Linked DNA regions of Drosophila melanogaster. Changing the gene in region 1 together with any one later gene gives a genetic interaction. Each region holds a gene or a part of one and is shown in the gene's direction. Other genes may lie near its edges.

Region 1 (7,543 bases):
TCTTATTTAATATGTTTGATTCAATTATTTTTAATAAAAAAACATTAATTGTCATTAAATTATAAAACTTGTTTGTTAAAAAAAAACCGGTTAAACCAAAAATCTATCCATTAATATAAGAACTATTCTTACTACCGGAAACTGAGTCAACATCTTGCATCCTCTTCAATGAAAATGAATTTTTATTAAATGTCCTGGAAATTTACAGTATGTTTAGCAAATCCAAACAATAATAGATATTTATAAAGCAAATCAAGAACATAAATAGCTTAAAAACATAAAACATAACATAGAACAGGTAAGGTAATCAACTTTTAATAAGTTGGATGTCTTGATGGAAGTTCGAAAGTATTTCGAAAACGAGTTCGAACCCCTTGCATTTTCGACTCAAAGACAGGAGAGCGAGTGAGTGAATATCTTGTGAGTATTTGGATTGAGTGGTTTCTTGAATTCCGCCGTTTTTAATCCAGTTGGAATTCTGCTGGTTGGCGGACACTTGTTTCTATATGGGCGATTTGTAGGGGTCTTCAATGCACTTATAATTTGTAATATTGCATAGTATGTATGTATATTTTAATATTTCTCGTCTTGTCATTTTTAAGAACGAATCTTTCTTTGTACTTCATTACTTTTACGAATTTCATCAGTCATTTTTTTTCATGATAATTATAACATGCAGTGATAATTTTTTTAAATTTGTAAGAACCATATATTGAATACTTGTATATTGCATTTTTGTATATAATGGCATAATGTATGTATTAACGAAATTATATAAAAATCCCTTATTGGTTTCCCCAATAATGTGTGGCTAAATTCCCTCACCTTTGTGGGTGGGTTGGCAGTTGGGGGTAAACTAGGAGCAATAAAATGAAATGAGTATTTTTTTCGGGGTGAGTACATTTTTCGACGCCGACGGCGGAACCGAGCATCGTTTTTTGTCTTCGTGTAGTTGGCGCTGCCCTTTCTCTCGGCTCTCCCGTTATTTTCGTTATTTTGCAAGCCGACGACGAAGTCCCCGAGCAGATCCAAGCCCCCAATATTCCCCGTACACCCCATTTACCAACAATTTTCCACCCAAATCCTAACCGCTTTTCAACCGATTTTCCTCTCAGACTGCAGCAACGCATCTGCGACTGCGACTTGGGTTCTCAGTCTCAGTTTAGGTGTAAGCCATAACCCCTTGGAAAATCCCAACCACATCGCCCCTCCCCGCCCAGCAGAAATCATGGGGTTTAGTAGAAAAATAGGGAGTGAGAATACCAAGGGGGTCGGGGGCGTCTGCATTGCACTTGGCGCTTCGATACAATTTGAACTTTTCTTTATGCGAAAATCCCGCAACGGGACTGCAAATTCCAGGGGTTTGCGGAAAAACACAAAATAACGGGAGGCTGAGAAGGGGCTTACTCTCCAATTTAATATTCCATGGATTTTTGAAGAGCCGAACAGAGACAGCCAGCCAAGGGACTTAAGTTAGGAATGCAATTTAAGGTGCATCATAAAGTGGCGGAAATTTGGAAAGGACAGATTGTTTCTAAATGTTACATTTACCTCTAAAAAAAAACATAAAAATTAAATTAAACAACAAAACATAGAATTGTTTGTTGCATTTAGCTTAATTTACACTTCGTATTTACTTTTTTATTTCCATCACTTTCTACTATTGTTTACTATGTTCGAACATTTGATGAATATAGCAGCTGCTTTTAATTCTAAGACTTATCTCGTGGAACTTTTAGTTCTTTAGTTCTTAACTTTAAAACTTATCAGTTTCAGAATAATACTTGAATTCCAGGTAAATCCCCCTAAAGCCAAAAAATATTACAACTTTCCGAAATATCCTCAATCTCAATCCCTCCGCCAGCGTCACAGTCGACGTTGCACTCAATCCTGCGCTCAATAAGCAACAACAACAAGCAGTAGTGGAGAGAGGCGAGCGCCTGGCTCTTTCGTTTCCAATAAGAAAAGCGATGTGCGAGCGGGAGGGCACTAGCCAAAGTGTCTGTGAATGAATGAATTTCAATACATGCAACTGACATGCGACGGCGCAGAAAAATGCTCAAAAATAAGAGTAAAAAAAAAAGCCGAGAAGGAAAGCGCAAAAAAAGTGAGAAAATCAAAAAGCTATTGAAAGAAATCAAAAGCAGTGCACGGGAATTGAGTGAGATTCTCTTGCGCGGAGCGTGAGAGAGCGAGCGAGAGAGTTGCGCTGCATGAGTGTGTTGTGTGTTTGTGGCGCCTCTGTCGCTGCCAACGCCGCTGTCGGCGCTCTCTGCGGCAGAGGGTTGTCGGCGCTTCGTTAACGTTCGATTTGTTCAGTCATCAACAGCATTCGTGACTGGCAACGTCGTTTCGTTCGTCCGTCGCCGAAAGAAATCGAGAATTTCAGAAGATTTTTGGATTCTACTGCCCCACAAGGCAGTGCAGCTTCTTCTTCTTAGCCGCGGCGCGGGTGTGTGTGCGTGTGTGCCCCTCTCTCTCACTGTGTGTGTACGTCGTGTGTGTGTGTGTGCAGAAGAATCCCCCCACCCACTTCATACAAAAAATTCATAAAAAAATAATTGCAAAAGAATGAATCTCGCTTGCCAAGAAGAAGAAACGTATTGATCATATTTATAAACAAAACAGCACACAGCCAAACAAATCAAAAAGGACTAAACGAACGTATAATATAACTGTTTATTATTTTTTTCAAGTGCATTTTTGTTCGCTAAAATATGTGCGCGTGTATGAGTGTCAAGTGTAAACAACAACAGCAACATCAAAAGCAACAACAGCGACAGCAAACATGTGCAAAATAAGCCACAGCCAAAAAGCAACAACATAATGATAATGGCTTGAAAAAATCACACACACAACAACAACAGGCAACAACCAAAACAACAACATCATACCCTCACCATTCAACAAACGACTACAACAAAATCCCCCACACAACAACAAGAAGAAACCCCCTTCCAAAAAAATCAAAAAAAATTCTTTTTCGGAACTAAAGTGAACAAAATATAAAACATAACATAACCATAATAATAATAATAATAACACACAGAAATTGGCTTATTTATGCATTTTTTTGAGCACGTAACAAGAAACATACTACTTAAGGTGTAAATGTGATGACTAAAAACGAAAACCGAATTAAATAACAACTAACTAACAAGTAAAATCGAAACGACAACAGAACAGAATAATGCCAGGCCTTATTAGCCCCAAATTGGTAGAATCCAAAAACTGAAAACCCCAAAAAAACCTAAGCAAAAACTGACTGAGAATTATTGAATTAACCCAAGAAAGCCCACGAATGCAGCCAACATTGCCACAAGCCGCTGGGACAGCCGATATGGATCTGACGGCTGTTCAATCAATCAACGATTGGTTTTTCAAAAAGGAGCAAATTTATTTATTGGCACAGTTTTGGCAACAGGTAAGAAAAGTTAGCAAAACGATGGAAAACGGTGCTTAAAAGCAAGAAGTTTCGTGTTTCAAGAATAATAATATGAATATAGTTCAATGAATTGGCCAAACAAGCTGAGATTACGGGTTCGTAAAATGTTCGGTGCAAAAGTGTTTTATCTTCTGTTCTCACTTTTATTCGCATTGACAAACAGTCTTACGTTTATATTACATGCAAGGTGTATCTTATTTTTGTCAACAAAAAGATGAAATTACACCTGTTATATGTAGCATAAAATTTGATACTTGCGTTTTCTAACTTTATATGAATGAAATGAATTCGATTCATACAGTATTGTGTATTCAAAGTGAAAAGTTTAGGGAGCGTAACGCGAAAAGCCCGAAAGCCTTTAAAACGTTATAAGCTAAAATTAGAACTTTCCATACATTGATTAGACTAAAAAGTCATATACAAATTTGCAATTATCATTGTAACTAAACAGTGAATAGTTCCCGAGTTCTGTGATATTCGTTGCATTTCACTGGAAACTCCCACAGCTGACAACAATAACCCTAGTGCGCCCAGCCGCCCACTTTAACCCCACACAGCCCCCATATTTTGGCCCCGCAAACTGCTTAACTTAACTTAAGTTAACTAATTGAGTTTGCGTGTCTATGGCAAATGTGTTTTTATTGTTGCTGGCCCGTTATTGTTGTCTAATTTCTTGTTGTAAATTTATTTATTTTTTCTGCTATTATTGATTTCTGAAAAAAAATTTGTTTGCACAAAACAAAAACAACAAATGCAAAGTGCAACAAGCAAGTAATAAGTGAACAGTTTATTGCTTGAATAACTTTTTTTTTTTTTGAAGCGTTTTTTTTTCTGTTTTCTACTACCAGTGAACCGAAAAAGATAAAGCCAGACAAGATCGGCCAGACGGAAGAGACAATTCAGATGGGGGTTTCGCTGTAAAAGGGGGCGTGGAAAATCGGGAGGCGGGGGCCAGACGATGCTGAGAATTTCGCTGGCCAAATGCCAGACTCCGAACAAATAAGGCGGCAAAATAACATTAGAGGCCAAAAAGGGGAAAAGAAAATCATCTGCCAGACCAGACATGGAAATATCAACTGCTGTATATATTTTTGAATATTTCTATATATAAAAATACTCTCTATATGGTTTGGCAAGTTAATTAGGTTGCGTCGACAGCCGGGCAAATTTTTTAATTGGAGTTTCTTCTTCGATTGATCGTGAAAAGCGAGAGACGCGCACAGTGAAAGACAGACATGGAAAAATTCCCGGAAAATCTAGACATTTGCCGTCGGTGAATGGCGTTTTTTCCCGCTCCACAAATATTTTTGTACAAGATATGGCGATGCAAACTGCAATCAATAAAACTTAAATAAGCAAAACCAAAAGCTATCCTATCGACTTTTTCCGGAGAACCACAACAAAGGCAAAAAGATGAGAAGCCGCAGAACTCGTTAGGATTACTTGAAGTCAGTGGTGTACACAGGATTTTATGAATGGGGCTTTGCTGATCTCAAATAGAACCGGTTTTTATTTAATTAAATGCATTTGCTTGTTATATTTAAATGTTAGATATGTACATAGTGATAGAGCATAGTGTTGGCGGCCTAAACGAAAACACAAAACCCCATCTAAAGGCGCCACTGTTTTGGGTTCTTTTTTCCTCTTTCCTAACGATCATTTAATGGCTTTCAAAAGCTTCAAGTCTTCTATAACTTTCAAGATCCCTCAACCAATGATCGATTGTGATCAATGAATCAATATTTGAAAGGTTTCGTCATGCCTTCGCATGCTGATCAACAAAACAAAATTAGAACTCGATCCATAAATACCATTTCTCTGCGGCAGAAAAAAAGGTTATTCAACATAACTAAATTTGCCAACCAAAAATAGAAGCTTATTAAATAAATTAAACAAACCGCAGACAGACGTCTACAGCTGTCCAAATGAGTTGATAAAACAATTTTTATAGTATTTCACTTATTTATTTATTTACATTTCAAGAACAGAGCGCGCGCGAAAAAATTGACACAAATCGAATTCGAAAAAGCAACAATAAAAATGTGCTTGATTAACACAAAGTTTTGTCATTAAATATATAGAACGGTGGCACCGAAAAAACGATCACAAAAAATTGAAAAAAAAAACAAGTGCAAGAACAAAAAGCAGAAGCCAAAGAAGAACCAAAAGTTAAAAAGAGCAAAATTAATTTCCGTAATGCAATCTATAAACTTGACCCATTAACATCGAACAGATTTTTTGTTTAGCTTCTACAATTACCGAAATCCGAAAAACCATAAACCGAAAACTAGATGAAAGATGAGGTTTTTGTCATTGATTTGTGCTGATTCAAACTAGAAAAAAAAAAGATGGAAATGGAAAGACAACAAAACCGAACTAATTGCCAAATGCATTTGCTGACTTAAAAAATATTAAAAAAAAAAAAATAGAAAAGTTGAATTGAAAAGATGAGAGTAAATCGAGTTTGGGTTCCGTTTTAATCGAATTGAAACCGGTTTATAGGGTAGTCACCACCACCATAGCACCATCACAGATGCAGATACGGATATAAAATACGAAATGCGGAATACCGGGGACGAGCATTGATAGTTTATAAAGTTTAATTTTCAAAGATGGCGTCCCGGCATTTGCATATGCCGAAAATGAGCAGCCAAGGGTTGTCCCTTAAGCCCTTGGAAGCACACGGATACCTTGTACACATATACGATATCATACCATGCTATACCAAACCATAGATACCATATTGCCAGATACAGTATACAGATAGAGATCAGATCGGTGGACTGAGCGGCGGCGTGTGTCGTATAATTTTTAGCGTTTTAAGTGCAATTTACTCGCTCTCTGGCAGAGAAGCCAGCTAATGAGTCACAGAAACCGAAACGTGGATGAATGGGGGGGGGGGGGTGTTTGAAAAAGGGGTTATACCAAGAATCACAGACCGAATTCAACCACCCACACAGCACACAGATGCATACATATGTATGTAGACACACACGCATGGTATATGAAAATATTTCAGTCAGTTCAATCGTTCGATCGCTGGAAAGATATGTTAATATAATTAAATTAATTTGTCAGCACGGAAATTAAAACAGAAGCGGCATCGGCAGCAGCAGCAGCAAAAACAGAAACCGAAATGTCCATCACATCCACATCGGTACACATACATAGTATCTATAACAAAATGCGACGAACGAATCGAAACGATACTATACTATACCATACTATACTATACTATACGAACCGAACGAAACGAAACGAGACGAATCGAAATGAAAATCGAACAATTAAAAGCTTGTGGTGGGTGGGTGGAGATGGCGATCTGAACCCGAGAACTCGAACTCGATCTGAACTACCACGCAACTAATAATGTGAAATAAAAAATCATTTGGAAATTATTATTAAAAATTGAGTTCATGAACTATGTGTGTCCGTCCCGTCCGTCTATGCCAACATATGTGTATCTGTATCTGTGTGTGCTCGATCAATTTTTATTATGATTATTTGCTATTTCCCTCTCTTTCCGGTTTATGGCATTAATTATGAATAGCCATTGAAGCTAATTGAAGCCGGTCGAATGGAGTGTCCTCATGTAACTTGGGAACTAACTAACCATCAAACGCACTTCAAATTTCCCATCTGATATGTTTAGGCCGTAATTAGCTGATTTTCAATCGAATAAAGCATCGAGCTATGCAATGACCTGAAGTAACTCAGCTTGCAGTCATCTTAATCAATTGAAATTTTACACAGCACTAAAGTGGGCTTTTCAAAGTATGTGGGTTGTGTGTTTGGGCATTTTTTAAAACCAATACGCCAATCTAAATCGCAAGGAGATCAGCTTGTGGTTATCAAACGAATAAATACCTATTAAACCACCCTGATACTTTATATACTCATAGTAAGCACTAAAATAAGTACATATGTACATATTAGTCGTCTTTCAGCTAACCTGATGTAACTCAGCTTGCTGCCATCAAATCAAACTGAAACTTCACACTATCATATAAGTGGGAAAATGGGAGGGGATCGGGGAATGGATCTCCAGCTAAATCGCCACACGGCAAACAGCGACACTAATTGAGCATAAATATCATA
Region 2 (7,586 bases), 3.0 Mb from region 1:
GGTGGGTGACTGTTTTCTGTGGGCGGAATTGGGTGGCGGCGGGTGCCCAGTCACCTTGACATATCACTGGTGACAACAGTAACAACAATAAAAACAATAACAAATTCGCTGGCAAACGAGTGCGAATTAAAACGATTAATGGCGCTGGCTTTGCTTTTGCAAATAATAATCCCAAAACGAAAGCGAATTTCAGGCATTGCAGCCCGGTTACACTGAGCAAATTTTAAGCTGCAAACTACAAGGCAGGTAAGACAATTCAAAATATGATCAATTTATTGCCGGGCTTCAACAAGAATCATCTAGTTTTTGTAAAATTGTTTCGGCAGAATGTCGTTACTTTTCTCGCTCTGTAAAATATACCCACAACCAAGTTACTAAGTGATAAAGAGCGCAATATTATGTGGAGCAGTGTTGTGAAGGGTGTGTGAGGTGGGGGGGGGGGGGGGGAGGTGGAGTTTTCAATGTTGAAGAGCAGCGCGTGGGATTTTCAGTTGGCAGCATTGTTTGCTATTTGTTTTATGCTAAGCTAAATGCTAACTAAATGTTGGCAATTAAATGTTAATGTTGCCCCTTTCTGCCGCTGCTTCTTCTTCTGCGTCGACTGCTACTATTTGCAACGCCAACACTTTCCGTCTCCATTGAAAACGGAAAAATTGAAAAAAAGGGAAATTGATACAGAAACTGAAAACGAAACCGAAACTGAAACACTTTGGTTTGGTTTCTCAGCTGTTTGCATATGGCAAAAATGCAATGCATATCATATCTGGCTGGCTTTTAATGTATATTTAACACGCATTGCCATTACCATCATTATATTGTTGTAATTGTGCTTGGCGTTGGCTGTCATTGTTGTTGCTGTTGTTACTGTGCTTATTGTATTTCTTGTATTTATTGTATTTATTGTGCCACCCACGCGCATGCGCAACCAACTCAAAAAGACAGTGACGCAAGCGACTAAGTTTTCCAATCGCTTTCGATGGAAATTTGCATTCTTTTCGACACTGAATTCCGAAAATAAGATAATTATATATTAATAATATTAAGATCTCTGAAAAATTTGTATGATTACAACATAATTTTGTCACTTTTGAGTGAGCTATAGTTTTTAATCGCTGAACCACTGTGCGAATTTTTCAAGTTCATTATAAACAAAACGTAAATATTATTAAATTGTGTACAAACAGCGCGTTGCACGTGTCGCTGTGCCTTCTAGTGTGTGTGTATGTGTGTGTGTGCGTAGGGGCGCGTGTTTGTGTCTGTGTGTGTGAGTGGGCGAGTGTATTGAACTCTTGCTGCATTTTTTGCACAATTTCGCCGCCTTTTTTTCTGCTTTTGCTTGCGTTGTATTATTGTGCTCATTTATTTTTATTTTTACCTCTGTTGTTACAATTGTTTTGCATTATTTTTCTTTGAGTGGAGAATCGATCGAATGCATCGATTTTTGGATGAGATGCTGAAGGGTTGCTGGTCACCTAATTTACATACATACATATGTACATTCTTTCGGCAGCTGACACTATTTAAAATTGACCTCTCGACGGTACCTAAACACCTATGAGTATCGAAGAGCATGGAAAAAGAGCCTTTATATTTGGAGAACGCTATCCCCAAAGAATCGCAGAACTACGGGCAGCTACATGACATTTCTTTCGGTGCATTAATGTTAATTTCAATGCTGCTTGATTGCTGTATGACGCACCCTGAAAAGGTGAAAGGTGAAAAGAGGGACCGAAAAGAGACTCGATCGTCTCCGACTTCCGTTCTGGGCACAGCTAGAGGTTAAGGTTGAGAAACTGGCCAGGAAGTATCCGCTCGGGGGTTAATGGATACGGATACACGGATGGGGATGTTCACAGCTATGGATGAGCACATATGTATGTACATACATACATACATACATACATACATACATATGTATGGGCATATGTACACGAAGATCTGGATGTGCTCATCGCTAGATGAAGTGCGACAGAAAGGGCAACAAACATGGCCAGCGTGGCCAATGGCAACGGGATTTGCCCAAAAATCCAAAATGCATCCAGACATATGCATATGTGTATGTGGGTGCTACATACAGTGATCACTCGTATAGAAGGCAGAAAAAGTTGACAATTGGAGATTTGGTAGTCTGGCACATTTCTATCCTACATCCGTTGATTTTGTTTCATTTTTTAACAAGATTTCAGACTCATTTCCCGAAGTATTTATTTTGCCGATATTAATACTTTTTTCTAGTTATTGAAAAAAATGGTGACTTTGGTTTAAAGTCCTAGGTCAAACTGAAGTATTCCATAAATATTAAAAGAAGGAAATACTACACAAATAATGCATCTTCGATTAGATATACTTCTTCTACGCTCAGATCTAGTATCGTGCATCCCATTTCCAGTTGTCAAGTGTCCACTGTAATTTCCAATTCCAATGAAAGATGAGTACGGCCCTCTCGCTCTTCCACACACACACACACGCACCCAATGTGTAATCCTATTTGCGCCAAATAAAGAAAAAGAAGAAGACAAATTTGAAACGAAGAATGAGAAGGAAAGAAAATCCAAGCTGCGCTGCCTCCGTTGAAAAAAAAATGAGAAAAACCAGACTGCTTCTCTCTTCTCTCTTTTCTCTTTTCATTTCAAATTTTACGCTCTCGCTCTCGCGGACAGCGACGCCGCCGGCGGCAGCGCAGCGCAGCCGTTGTATTTATAAATACAACTTTATAAATACAACATCAGTCGATTTTCATCTGCCGAATCGGTTGCGCTGCGGCTGCGCTGAGAATAAGATACAAAACTCGTGCGCGGCGCTTCAAGAAACCAACTCAAAAGCAGACAAATCAAATAACTAACTTGTAGAAAATAAAAATATAATAAAACATAAACAGAATTTCTCAATTCTAAGCCTACAAAGAAATATCAAACGCAAACTGCATATTTTTTTCACGTTTTTTTTTTAAACGACAAACCATTGGGAATTTTTGGAATACTAAGCTTTAAGGCCAAAGAAGTGTGAAAAATATTAAGTGAACCAAAAAATAAGTGCTATCTGAATTAAGTTATCTGACAAGAATTAAAAAAAAAACCTACACACTAAACATAAAACACAAAACACCAAAAAGCCACCAAAAATCATTTTTCAACGGGAACCAAGCCTAAAACAGTGCGAAATCCGGAGTTGGAATGCCGTCGCAACTGTTGAACACAATTTCACAACTAAATATCCACTAAGGTAATTTTTTAACAGTGATTGTTTTGGATTTTTTTTTATGTTGTTTCTGTGATTTGTGCGTGAACAATTTGTTGTTGCTTTGGATAAATAATCGAGCGCAGAAAACATGGATTATCAAAAGGATGAAATTGGAAAAGTTATTGGGTCTTCAGCTAAGCTAACATTTTTGTGTTAAATTGTTAAGAACAAAAATTGTTGAATTTAAAATTAGCACAACCGTTTTAAAATAAAATTTAAAAGCTTAGTTTTCAAACACATTTGAAATGCAATTTTTAAATGCAATTGAAGTGCAGCAGTGTTTTAAAATCGACTTAGATATTAGAAATATTATTTAAAAAAGATGAAGTAATGAAAATATATATGCCAGTTTAATTCTTCCGTAAATCGTTAAAATAATTTAATGATCCAAATTCATTATATTCCGATTAAATCAAAAGGAAAATGTTTATATAAAATTATTTTCCTACGATCACAATGTTTGAAAACATTTCAATTCAAGTCCATTCCCAAAACCCCTCCCTTGGTGTTTTGGGTCAAGTTCTGCCTGCAATTAGCCGGGTCAAAAAATTACCCATGACCGATGCTAAAACCCTTGAACTTTGACACACCACGCACACACAGACAGTCCAGTCCGAAAAGCCAGAAATTTCCGTGGTCAGGGATGATGAGGCGACGTTTATAGGGTTTAATTCAGATTGATGATCTGTTTAATATCGCAGGGGTTGTGCTCCATGTCAAACGGTTCACTTCACTCGGCTTGATTCCGTTAGATGGCGATTAGAAATTTGTTTTTTCACTGACCAAGTTGTGTTCATTGATAATTCCCAAGGGTCATAAAGGTGTGAAAACCGCCCAACAATTCCCCGCCCCAAAAAGTATATATTCGGGAGGGAATCTTTATCTCAATGACTTTTCATGACTCATGGACAACGAAATTGAAATCAGCCAACCAAAATGAAAGGCCAAACCGAAAGCCAATGGACAACAAACAACTAACACACATTTACCGAAAAAATTATATGTGTATATGACTGGATGTATGCATGTGTGTATGTATATATAGCGAACAGTGGGCTCGTTATCGGTAGAAATTTTTGATCAGCCTCTGAGGTTTCAGAGTTTCTTTATTTTTGTTGCCTTTCGGGGGGAAGTTAGGATTTTCAAATCGATCCACTACCACCCAAAGAAACAACAACAACGACAACAACTGGGACACCGCTCATAGTCATAGCCTTGATAACGGTAAATGCTAATGAGTGTACCCACATTTTTCACCCACACACCGAAATTCTTGATAAGAGCAGCATTGCCAGATGTGTATTGAATTCAATTCTTCGCACCTTTCTGCGGATGCACTTGCAACAGTCGCCAATTCTTCTTATTCGCTCTTCACAGGAACTCGATTTCAAATAGCTTTTCCGCTTCTGTTTTTTCATCTTTCCGTTGCATTGTTTACTTGCCTGAATCAGCTGTTTACGTTACTCAAGATTTAGTTTAGTATTACGCGACAATCGAAGACTGGAGAATGCAGGGTGCCCCACTATCGATTTTCTGTTATTAATTGAACCCTACACCCAGTTTACAGAATGGAACGCTGTCAGTGTGGATATCATTTGTTTACGCGTGATTTCTTTCCATCTTCAGACTTTCATAAAGCTAGTAATTACATTTTTGAATCAGCGAGTGTTGCAAAACTTTGGTGGGGTTGGACAAAAAGTAATAAAAATACTTGCGATTATAAGTGTTTAGTATATTTGATACACTTCTTTTGTCTTCGAGTTATCTAATTAGTGTCAACACTTGTTCAAGTGCTTCGATTTTTCGATAGAGTTCTTATTACACGTGCTTTATCTATACCCATCTCTAAAAGTCCTTTCTTCTTTTTCTCTCGAATCTTCTAAATCAGCACAGTTAACTAGCCGTTGGAAAAATGCTCGCCGCACAGCAACAGCACAACAACAGCACAGTGGAATCGGAAATGGAGCGCCAGCGACGGGACTCCACCACATCGGAGTCCTCGCTGGAGCATCTGGATCTGGGACGTACGCCCAAAAAACTGGGCGGTAACAGTGGCTCTACACAGACCACATCCACGCCACATGAGCTGGCTACGGTGACATCTTCGCGCAAGCGCAAAATTCGCCATTTGCAATTGAATCACCATCAGCAGCAGCAGCATCACCAGCAGTCGGATCTGCTGAGTGATGAAGACGTGGCGGAGGCGGAGGCGGAGGAGGATGAGGACGAGGAGGATGGCGACCAGGTGGCCGCCTTGGGCTCAAGGAATCTGGGACGGCACAAGCAGCGTCGCAGTGGTGGCGCCACCACACAGGCATCCATTGTGATGGACTACAGCAGTGGCGATGCCAGTTCGCTGCGCAAGAAATTTCGTCTGAATCGCTCGGCGGCCAGTCTCTCGGAATCGGGATTCGTGGACGCCAGCAGCACCACTGGCCACAGTGGCTATCTGGGTAACAGTAGCAGCGCTACGAACACTACTGCGACCAGTGGTATTGGTGCTAGCGCAGTGGCTCCATCTCCAGTCGGCGGAGCAGCGATCAACGCAGCATCCAGCAGCAGCGGCAGCAGCAGTGGCGGATCCGGTGGCTCCTCGCCCCAGGGACAGTGCCTCTCCAGCGGTGAATCAGGCATCGGAGCCGGCGACGAGCATATGAAATACCTTTGCCCAATCTGTGAGGTGGTCTCAGCCACGCCGCACGAGTTCACCAACCACATCCGGTGCCACAATTACGCCAATGGCGATACGGAGAACTTCACCTGCCGCATTTGCTCCAAGGTGAGTCATTGTGGTCACTCAAATTGTGTGCACCCTTTGTTTTTCATTAGATTAGATATAGATTTAAGGAATATCGAAAGAAGCGTTCAAATCTCAAACGAAGACTTTCAATATTGCTTTGAAAGCAAGTTAGTTTCGAGTAGTTGAGATGAACTACTGCTTTAAATTGATGAATAGACAGATGTGCTAGGACTTAGAAGAGCTAGCCGTAGGTTATTAACCCCTGATCGCCTGATTACTCACTCACCTGTTCTTCGTTTCTCCCACCATCCAAATTGAAACTATAAACAGGTGCTATCCTCGGCTTCATCCCTGGACAGACACGTGCTGGTTCACACGGGCGAGCGTCCCTTTAACTGCCGCTACTGCCACCTGACGTTCACCACCAATGGCAACATGCACCGTCACATGCGCACCCACAAACAGCATCAAGTTGCGCAGTCGCAGTCGCAGTCGCAGCAGCAGCAGTCGCTGCAGCAGCAGCAACAGTCGCAGCAGCAGCGCCGTCAGCAGCAGCAACATCAGCCGTCGCAGCAGCAGCAGAATCCCGCCCAGCAGCAATTGATGGGCAACACGTTATCCGCCCGAGCGGAGAGCTACGAAAGCGATGCCAGCTGCTCCACGGACGTGTCCAGTGGACATAGTCACAGTCGCAGCAGCAGTTCCCTTAACAACAACAACAACAACTCGCACAAGGCTAACAACAATCTAAAGGACTTGGAGGAGCTGGAGGTTTCGACTGAGGATCAGGATACGGAGAACAAGCAGCGTCGACTGAAGACCACCATCAACAACAACATCATCGAGAGTGAGCAGCAGGAGGATATGGATGATGAGGAGGCCGACGATGCGGATGTGGCCATGCTGACCAGCACTCCCGATGTCGCCACTCTTTTGGCCGGAGCCAGTGCATCTGGCGCCGCCTCGCGTTCCCCTACCCCATCGCCATCCGCCTCACCTGCCTTGCTCCTAAGTTGTCCCGCCTGCGGAGCCTCCGATTTCGAGACCCTGCCCGCTCTCTGCGTCCATTTGGATGCAATGCACTCAGACATACCAGCCAAGTGTCGGGACTGCGAGGTGATCTTTGCCACCCATCGTCAGTTGCAGTCGCACTGTTGTCGCTTACCCAACGCTCTGGCCGGTGGCTTACCGCCGCTTCTCGGAGCCAGCAGTTCGCCATTGCACAACGAGGAGCCGGAGGATGAGGAGCACGGTGACGATGAGGATCTCGAGCAGAAGGAGAGGTTAGCGAGTCAAAGCGAGGACTTTTTCCATCAGTTGTATCTGAAGCACAAGACAGCAAATGGATGCGGAGCCATCTCGCATCCGCCATCGCCCATCAAACATGAGCCGGCGGACACCAAGGATCTGGCCGATATCCAGAGCATCCTGAACATGACCAGCTCCAGTTCCAGTTTTCTGCGCAACTTTGAGCAGTCCGTGAACACGCCCAATTCGAGTCAGTACAGCCTGGACGGTCGGGATCAGGAGGAGGAGGCACAGGACGCGTTCACCTCGGAGTTCCGTCGCATGAAGCTGCGCGGCGAGTTTCCCTGCAAGCTGTGCA
Region 3 (9,640 bases), on another chromosome or scaffold:
AACTGGGTTCCCGCTCCAGCTTTGTACTGTGCAGCGGCGGCACGGCCTGCATGTTTGAAATGCAACGCGGCGCATTTTTAACTGAAAGATATGGAAAAACGTGATGTTAACTGCTTAAACTTAAGCAAAGTAAAACGGCATAGTTACCTTCGTAGATAATTTGCTCCCTGGGCTGTGTGCGCATCCGCTTGACGGGCAGCTCGCCGTTGATCAGCTTATTGCCGGAGGAGGCTGTGCCCGGATTGATGACGGGGGCAGCAGGCCTGCGGGATGTGACGTACTCGACGGCGTGCGGCTGCACCGTTTGGGGATCCTCCTCGACATGCTCGAAGGATGTGTTGTCCACGACGATGGTGCGATAGGTGCCGCCACCCGTATTGACCGCCGTTGTGGACGCGGTGATGCCGGTCTCCGCCAGATTCTCCTCCATCATGTCCTCGTGATCGACATGCTCCTCCACCATCTCCTCCTCGTCCACCTCATCGTTGATTGCCTCTTCAACGGCTGCCTGAAGTTCCTTTTGAAATGCCACCGAAGTACGCTGGCCCAGTTCCTCCATCTCGTCGTCGTGCTCATCCTTTTCGGACTTCAGATTGAGCATCGTTTCGCCGCCGGTGGTGGGCACCTTGCCAAAGAGATCGAGAGCGCGCGTCTCCACGGAGGTCATCGAGATGTCCTTTTCCGTGGACAGAAGGCTGCGTCTGTACTTGCAGCGAGTGGTGTTCTTCCAATCGTTTAGGCGCTGTATGTGGAGCAGGAAATTCGCGATTAGAGGTAACATTATTTGGGTGATGTAGTGGTACTCGTACCTTGCGCCACTCCTCCGGCGTCAGTGTGGGTCCGGAGCTGCACTTGTTTAGCCGGTCGGAGAGCTCCTTCCACTTTTTGGTCAAGTAGTTCAGGTCATAGTCGCGCGGCACTCGTCCGGTGGCGAAAATGGGGTCGCTCTCCATCATGTCGATGTACATTTGGTACTGCTCCGATGAGGTGCGTTTCTTGCGGCGGTCCATCTTGCCGTTCATCCGGGTATCCTTGCTCTGTGCCTGCGTGCTCGATGCCGTGTTTAAATAGCTGGCAAAAGCCCTAAAATGCAAATCGACGCCACCAAGCGATGCGAGATGTTCACAAACAATTTACGCATTTAGCGTTTGGGATTTTCTAGTTGCATTTTGTTGCTGTTGGCGCAGGGTTGCATTCGGCACGCCAGTGGTGCGCATCTGGCGGGAAGCCAAAAAAGCAATTAGATGCCATGCGATAGTTATGGCTAGATGTGCAATAAATAATTCAATTTTGTTGCAATAAAAACATGCGGATTCAGAAATGATTTGTCACAATATTTATTAGCGGTTTCATATAAATCAATAATACATTTCAAAATATATGTGCAAAAAGTATTTCGTCGAACGATATGCATAACAACAGTCTTAAAAACGACTAATTGGTATATGGTACACACTACTCAAGAATTTGTTTTCAACGAATGCCTACTGTACTACTTATTGAGCGTTCCGCGGCTTTTAATTCGAGGCGAAATCAGCAGGTCCCTCTGAGCTCACATATTATATTACATTATACATTATATCAATGTGCATGGCTAGCATGGGCTATAATTCCGGAACGTACTCGAATCCGGGATTATTGTACTTGAAGCGGGCTATCTTAAAGTGCAGCGATGCCTCGTGTATGTCCGAAATGCGTTTCAGCTGCTCCTGGATTTTCTCTCCATAGAAGGCAGACGGTTCTTTCGCGGCAGATTGATCAGATGTGACATCCGCGACTGAAATCAAGGCTATGTCCCTTTATAGGATATTTAGTATTTACATTAGATTTGCGTCTACCCACCTTCGTAGATAATCTCACTGGAACCATCGAGCCTTAGCTTTTTCGCGGCACTGTGACCATTGATGATCGTTGGGTTGGCTTGCTCGTGAGGCTCTGCTATGAACTGCTGGTACTGCACCTCCTCCTCCTCCTCCTCATCCACCAACTCCTCCAGGTTCTCATTCTCTTCTTCATCCAGTTCCTCTTGCTCCTCCATCAGTTCGTGCAGGCGCATCGAAATTCCCTCGCGAAAATTCGGTTCTAAGGAGAAGATCTGCAGGGCTCTGTTCTCCAGAGGAGTCATTGCATTGCTCTTGTCATCCGAGTTGATGCTGCGTCGGTATTTGGAGCGCGTGCTGTTCTTCCAGTCGTTGAGGCGCTATAAGCATGACACACTGTGGGCTTGTACACTCGATACCCAACTGGTTACAACATACCTTTCGCCATTCCTCGGGCGACAAAGTGGGACCCGTGGAGCACTTGTTTAGCAGATCGCTGAGCTCCTTCCACTTCTTGCCGTCCTGGGTGCGACTCAGTTTGTTGGCCGACATCGGGGGATTCTCCTCCATGAAGTCTAGGTATACTTCGTATTGGTAGTACGACGTCCGCTTGTTGCGTCGATTCATTTTGGGGATCCAAATTATGACCAACAATTGAAAACAAACAAATTGAAACAGACGCCACAAAAAGGCAATAAAGCAACGAGCTATCGATAACACAAACAATTAAGGCTCCGAAATTAAATACCAAAACCGAAATACCAAACTATTTTAGAAAATATCAAAATAATTGTTTGGTTCTCCTAGGTTCGAAAAGAAGTTTCTTGGAATTTGTAATTTACCCGCGCCACAATCTCACAAGATTGTGTAATACATCTAAAAATATTTATTTTTCTCAAAATATCACATTTCAATTTATAAAATAAATTGGTCTAGTTCTTTAAGCATTTTTTGTGTATTTCGTAATTTTTGTAACAAAGCTAGTCCTGCTTTTTCAATCAAGTTCAATCAGAGGGTAGAACAGCTAGTAGAACCGCTGACTCAACATATTTTCCAAACCTTTTTTATTTAAAATTTGTATTCTGAAGTAATTCAAAAGTATATCAATCTCCGTGGTCTGCAGCATTTAACTGTACGCGACGAACGGTATCACCGTAGTGGTCAAAAAAATCAAGTTTCCTGCATTTTCAGGTGTAAAATTAACTGAGATATAGTGCGATTTCTGGCCCGAAAATTGTGCTATTTTACAGAACAGGCCACTGACCACCACATAGACCGCAAGAGAATACGGATAATGCGTCCCCTAGCCCGGAAAAGGCCGCTGGAAAACGAGGATTGAGAACCGAATTGCGAACCAGATGATAGAGTAGCGTGCCAGCCAGCGAGTGCGAGCGAGAGAGGGCGAGAGGAGCAGAGTGAGAGAGAGAGGAGGACAGAGTAGACACAAAACTTCAGGCCCGAGTTCTCGCCCATCTTACGGCCGATTTTACAGCCCATATAGCCGCTATATAGTCGCCAGAATGGCGGAGGAGAATCCCGGAGCTCTTGCCGCCAACGTGCCCTATTTGGGAGTGGATGAGTTGGGCGCATCGGTGATTGTGGAGCCTGGTTTGGAAGGATCCAATGCCGGAGGCCGGACGCTACCGGCTGCGGCCATTAAGTTTGCTGATCTCACCGAGAGCGGCAGTGAGTCGGGAGACAACGAGGCCGAGGAACCTGTATCCGCTGGCCCGGATAATGCCAACGCCATCGGTGAGCCGGGCACCAGTGCATCCGCCGCGGAGGAGAACGGAACAGTAGAGCGCAACTCGCCGCCGCCCAATTGCGCCATCTGCTTGTCCCGCTGCAGGAGGAAGTGCTTCACGGACTCGTGCATGCACCAGTTCTGCTTCAAGTGCCTGTGCGAGTGGAGCAAGGTAACCAGTCCGCAGGCGAGTAAACCATTATTTTAACCATCTAATTATTCTCGATTGCAGATAAAGCCCGAGTGTCCACTGTGTAAGCAGCCCTTCAGAACCATCATACACAATGTCCGCACCCTGGACGACTACGATCGCTACCCGGTGCAGACTACGTCGCCGGTTCCAACAGAAAATCCCTCCCTACGTTACCACATTGTGAGGCGTCCCAGGTACACGCCGCTGGTGCAGAACCAGGCCGTCATTGTCAACGACATCGAGGCGGCCATAGCGGCAGGAGCTGCTGGTGAAGATGTGCTTTCGGCGGCAGAAGTAGCAGCTGGCAGGCGATCGTACAGCCGCTTTGAGCCGTATCGCTCGGAGCTGATGAATTACTACCAGCACGATCAGGATGCATCCACGTCGGGTTCATTGAGCCAGCTCTGGCGACGTTATGTGTACGATAGAAAGCTGTATGCTCTGCCCGTCAGCGACAGCGTGACTGGACACTTTCGAGAGTGGAGCGCCCGTTTTTACAGGTCTGTTCGTATACCTAAAACCGCATACTTAACCATACTGATTTCGATTTCAAATCCTTGCTTATAGAAACAATCCTGCTCAGATTCATCGCCTGATGCCTTGGATCCATCGCGACATCATGTGCCTACTGAGGAATGCCGCACATAGCGTAAATACTGTGATGACTCTGATGAGCGACCTCCTGCCCATGACTAGCTTACTAGGTCCTACATTCCGTCGACGGCTGTCGCCGTATCTCGGCGAGCGCACCAGTCACTTTATCCACGAACTGTTTAACTTTGCCCGCTCCCCGTATGACATAAACGGTTACGATCATGTGGTGCAGTATTCGGCACGAGTGGCTGAGGAGGTGGAGGTGGATCTGTTGGACATGGTGGAGACACAATCCTCGAACGGTGATGATCTGAATTTGGAGGTCGGAGATAGCGATGCGGATGCTATAAACGCTGGCTTCTCTCCGGATTGGAGCCCCCCTAGGGTACGCCCGTCGACCAGTGTGATTGTGACCAATCCTGGTGCCACACATTCCTTCAGCGTGACAATGGCCAGTGATGGCAGTGAGCTGCCGGGGATTTCCATACGCCGTACAACCAATGTGGGCTCACAAACGGTTGCCATTAACCTGAGCATGAGGCGCCCAGCGGCGGTTGCCAGCGAGGAACCAGAGGTCATCGAGATCGACGACGGCGATGCGGCCGCAAATGCAGAGGTGGCGGCCATCAATGATGGCAGCAACACCAGTAGGAGACACGCAGGTGCTACTCTTCCAGTGACGGCGCACATCGAACTGGAGAGCAGCAGCAGTTCCGGCGATGAGGATGAGTGCGTCTTTGTGCTGGAGCTGAAGCCACCACACATGCGCACTCCCGAACAGGTGAGCCTTGACTCAAATAGTGACTCCGATGTGGTGTTCGTAAATGAGCAGCACGAAGCTGCGCCGGACGCAATTGCCGAAAACCGGTCGACACAATCCCCTTTGGATCTGGCCTCCAGGGATCAGGGCCTGTTTATGGGGCCCAGCACAAGTGGCGCAGCGGCCAACAGAGGCAAGAACTGGAAGCTGGTCATGGCGCAGACACGGCGCCTCGATCAGTTGCGCACGCTGCGCTCTATACGTTCGAAGAAATCACGCCGTTCATCCATGCCTGCCCGCAGTGACAGTGGCAGCAGCCCCAGCAGCTGCAGCAGCTCCTCCTTTCACTTCAGCAGCAGCAGCGATGAGGATAGCAGTGACAGTAGTACCACCAACTCCGAGCCACCCAAGAAAAAGTCACGCAAGCGAGTGGCGAATAATAAGCGCTCTAAAAAGGAGTCAATCGGGAAAAGGACATCTCGTAAACGGAAGGCCAAAGACCAGAATATGGAAATGCTTGAGCAGCAGCAGATAAGCCAAAAGAAGCCCCAGCGCCAACCGGAAAGCAGCAGTGACAGTCCAAGTTCGTCCGATGACGAGTCAGGTGGCGATAGCAGCGAGTCATCCGGTAAGTGGTTTGTGAATCTAGACGGTTCTTATCAGCATGTATGAATGTATGTATAACACCACACATTCTGAACAGGAAAACACTAGAATGATCTCTAAAAACAATCAAAAAACTATTTATTATCCTATCAGATCAAACTTGTATAATTACACAAATTTGTTTTCTAGGTCAACCCAACACGAACAACAACAAATCCAGCAGCGATTCCGATGATGATAGCGCTGTAAACATGCAGCTCAGTGCCTTGCGCGCCACACTAAAAGCGGAGGCAACTCTGGAGGATAGGAAACCTGTAAAACTGGAGCTTCAGTTGCCGGATGACGACCAGGCGGGGCCCCTCCACTCACGGATGACTCCATCGCCGAGAGAGGATAACGAACCGGGTTGCAGTGCACCGAAACGGCGACGCAGTTGCAGCCACAGCAATCAGTCCAGCCAGAGTGCCAGTTTGGCCAGCAGTTCGACAGCCACCTCGAGCTCGGCTCCATTAAGTTCGTTTGCCTGGGGAGCAGCGGGCTTTTCCGGCGATCCGCTGATGCGCGGACATCCGGCGATGGAAGAGCACGACATAGCCAACTCCCTAATCGAACTGTCCACTCTAACGCAGCCTGTGAACATCGGACTCTTCAACGAGCATTATAATTCGGCAGAGAATTCCATGGGCATGCTGAGCAACACGTTGTGCGACAGCCCACAAACTTTGGCGGCGGATGACGCCAATCTAGAGAACTATTTCGATACAGATGCGGATCCGGAGGCCAGCCGTGAACGGGATGCCTATTCGCTGGAGGCCGCAATCGATGTAGTTGGCGAATCAGAGTTGCAAATCGCCGAGGATACAGCCACTGCCACCGAAGAACAAGATGAGGAGGACGAAGAGGATGAAGATCAAGAGGAAGACGACCAGGAAGAGGAAAAAGCTGCGGAGGAAGAAGAGGAAGAGGAGGAGGACGACGATGATAGCGACAACCACGATGAAAACGATGAGAATCAGGGACTACTGCCGTATTAAGCATAAGCCACTGATTTAGATTTTCATTTAAGTTGCTAGTGTAAGGGAATGTTTAACTGGTTTCCGTCTTGTCTTGTTCCGATTCCTGAAATCCCCAAACCCCATAAAATAATATTTGTAATTGTAACTCATGTATTGTAGGCCTAAGATTGCCATTTTAAGTTGTACATACATATATAAACACCCATCCCAACATTATTTAAATGTTCTGTCATACATACATATACCACCCCCCCCCTTCCACATCAAAAGACGCATTCAATATCCCCCTGAAGAACATCGATTGTAAATGTATTCACGTAGGTTAGCGGCATCTATAACTAACTAACTATAAACAATGGCAACTAACTTTACTATCGTAGCTTTTAAATCGTAGAATTAGCGCTGATCAATGTATGAGGAGGGTGTTAATGTTTTTTGCATAAGTGGGCGTGGCCAGTTATGAATTTTAGTGTACTCAACATACAATGAACAAAAGATATCTGTAATACGAATCAAATACATAATAAATGTAAAGATTAAATTAAAGATAAATAAGTGTCATTTCATATTTCGTAAAGTTCTAAAAGTAATTCTCATTGGATCAAGGATGCCCCCCGGCATAGGCACCTTGCGCATTTTTTTTTTTGTTAAATTTATGCATATTTTGTTTCAATTCAATGTTTCCAGTGATTTCAGAGTATATTCGATTTCCGATGTCCCGATTTGTCACGATTTGCAGGTTAATTTATGGCATTGTCTAAACAGTCCCTTACTTTCCACACTTGACATTAGGCATCGTGTAGATGCGCCCCAAATAAAAACGTGCCACAGAGCCGTTGTGCCTGCGCAATAAGCAAAACTTTTTCGCTGAGTTTCAATTGGAATTGTTTAAAGAACGAGCTAATTGTTTAATTCCTATAAGGTAAATACTGTATCATATTGCACAGCTGGAAAAGTTCCATTTCGCGAGCGACAGTGAGCAGTGAAATCAGTATTAAATCGAATTTGTGATTGACAATTCCAGGAATTTTCGTTCACGTGTAAAGTTTCTGTTTCTGTTTTTTCTTCGAACAATTTCGACATTGTCGACACGTGGAGTGCAGCAACAATGATGCCACGGCACATGGTCCAATGGCGCATATATGTCTACGCCAATTCGCTATATTCTCTGCCGGATCGTGAAACGGGCGACTTTCGCGGCTGGTCCCCCGAATATTTCCGGTGAGTGAAAATTTCCTCCTCCAATACAAATAAGGGAAATTTCAGCCATGTTCTCATTTCTGCATTTCCTTGTAGTCTCAATCCCTTCGAGGTTCATAGGGTAATGATGTGGGTGAACCGCGATGTATCGGTGCTGATCAGGACCAGGAAGGCGGATATTTTCTATCTGTACGAGACCATCAAGAATCTGCTTCCACGTCTTAAGCTGGACAGCGAGGAGTTCCGAAAGCCCATGATCCACTTTTTTGGCGCCAATACGGACCTTTTCATCCACGAACTGATCAACTTTGCCCGTTCCCCGTACGACACTCTAATGGCCTATGAGTGCAGCACACAGTACCGGGCCTTGTTGGATTTTGATAATGGTCCTACTACGTCGGCGAAGTCCAGGGATCGCGAGTTTTTGTCGACGAGACTGCACAGCTTTGTAGAATTTACGCGCCGCATCAACTACGACGATTGCGGTGGCTTTGAGGCGGATCTGGAGCTGGAGGATGAGGATTTCGGCGAGCTCGACGATATGATGATGGAGCGCTATGGTGGTGCTCCGTTCTTGATGAAGATGGACGGACAGCTGGTGACAGCCCGAATCATACCGAGCTCACAAGCTAATGCACCTAACCAGGGTCAGGTGAATCAACAAACTCAATCCCAGGCCCAGGCTCAGGCCCAGGCACAGGCTCAGGTCCAGGCACAGGCTCAGGCCCAGGCCCAGACTCAGGCTCAGACTCAGGCCCAGGCTCTGGCTCAGGCCCAGGCTCAGGCCCAGGTCCAGGCACAGCCACAGGCTCAGGTCCAGCAGGCAGCAGCTCAGCCTGCCCAGCTGCTCCTCCCTCAGCTAACGCAGGCGGTGATCCAGACTCAGCAACGAGCGGTTCACCAACCCCAGCAGTCGGGACAGCAATCAGGACCTCAGCATGCCTCATCGACCGCCGCCTTGGCTACGCCTCTGGAGGATCTGGAGCTCGGGTTCGCCATCGAGCGCAGCATGTTCGTAGGAGCCTCAAACGCTGATCAAGGAGGCGATTTCATCCTGCCATACGGACAAGTTTTCCGCTTTGCCAACACTAACCGTGCAGCGCGCCCTTCCAACGGGAATGGATCCGGCTCTGGTGTCATGAATCCACCACCAGCACCACCCGTGCCGAATAATCCGCGAAATGCGTCCGCACATCAGGGACGCCGCCGCCGCACGCAAAACCAACGCTAGAAGGGATCCCTAATTACAATATCCTGTTGCAACATTTTCAACTCATGTATAATACAATCGAGTGCGCCGAGGTCTTTGTCAATGGCCTCTCGCAGCACAGACAGCAATAAAAAAAGGGTTTTAAAGGGCATTAAAAATTGATAACGATAACGGGAAAAAAGGATGGCCCATCAATAAGGACACGCCATGTAAAATTGCGTGCCAAATATGCCTTTAGCGCATATTTCCCTTTGTCTTAATTTCGGCAGAAAAGGTAGCTGCAAACCCCACACACCTTCCCAACTTCCACATCCCCCTGTCACATGGCGCATGAAAAATTGAATTACACGCACTTTTGCGCATAAACGAGGGAGCTAAGATAAAAAAAAAGCAAAAAAGCAAAAATGTTGAGTGAAAAATGCGGCCGATTTAGGGTTTCCGCTGGAGGAATGGGCCTGGAGGTGCCCCAGCTGCTTGTGGTAGCAAATTCAGGTCCA

The links. A genetic interaction does not mean that the proteins touch.
Region 2: of ct (region 1) and peb, changing one suppresses a phenotype caused by changing the other (phenotypic suppression), as found in Drosophila melanogaster (one study listed by BioGRID).
Region 3: of ct (region 1) and Topors, changing one suppresses a phenotype caused by changing the other (phenotypic suppression), as found in Drosophila melanogaster (one study listed by BioGRID).

What each region holds. Positions count from the first base shown.
Region 1 is NC_004354.4:7,606,115-7,613,657, forward strand, and holds the start of ct (cut), read left to right. Parts: upstream 1-3,033; 5' UTR 3,034-3,301; coding exon 3,302-3,424; intron 3,425-7,543. UniProt on the Drosophila melanogaster protein: Regulator of cell fate decisions in multiple lineages. Specifically, functions as a determination factor that specifies sensory organ identity in precursor cells. Probably also involved in cell type specification of Malpighian tubules.
Region 2 is NC_004354.4:4,614,842-4,622,427, forward strand, and holds the start of peb (pebbled), read left to right. Parts: upstream 1-2,722; 5' UTR 2,723-3,222; intron 3,223-5,128; exon of another isoform or gene 5,129-5,133; 5' UTR 5,134-5,152; coding exon 5,153-6,019; intron 6,020-6,310; coding exon 6,311-7,586.
Region 3 is NT_033778.4:18,969,987-18,979,626, forward strand, and holds Topors (topoisomerase I-interacting protein), read left to right. Parts: upstream 1-2,625; 5' UTR 2,626-2,952; exon of another isoform or gene 2,953-3,011; 5' UTR 3,012-3,340; coding exon 3,341-3,736; intron 3,737-3,796; coding exon 3,797-4,257; intron 4,258-4,324; coding exon 4,325-5,739; intron 5,740-5,906; coding exon 5,907-6,751; 3' UTR 6,752-7,276; downstream 7,277-9,640. Other genes in the region: prod (proliferation disrupter), read right to left, coding at 1-81, 148-742, 810-1,022; CG15107 (uncharacterized protein), read right to left, coding at 1,605-1,789, 1,843-2,200, 2,259-2,447; CG18605 (uncharacterized protein), read left to right, coding at 7,842-7,954, 8,030-9,164. UniProt on the Drosophila melanogaster protein: Functions as a ubiquitin-protein E3 ligase. Negatively regulates the transcriptional repressor hairy/hry by promoting its ubiquitination and subsequent degradation. Also directs the nuclear organization of the gypsy chromatin insulator.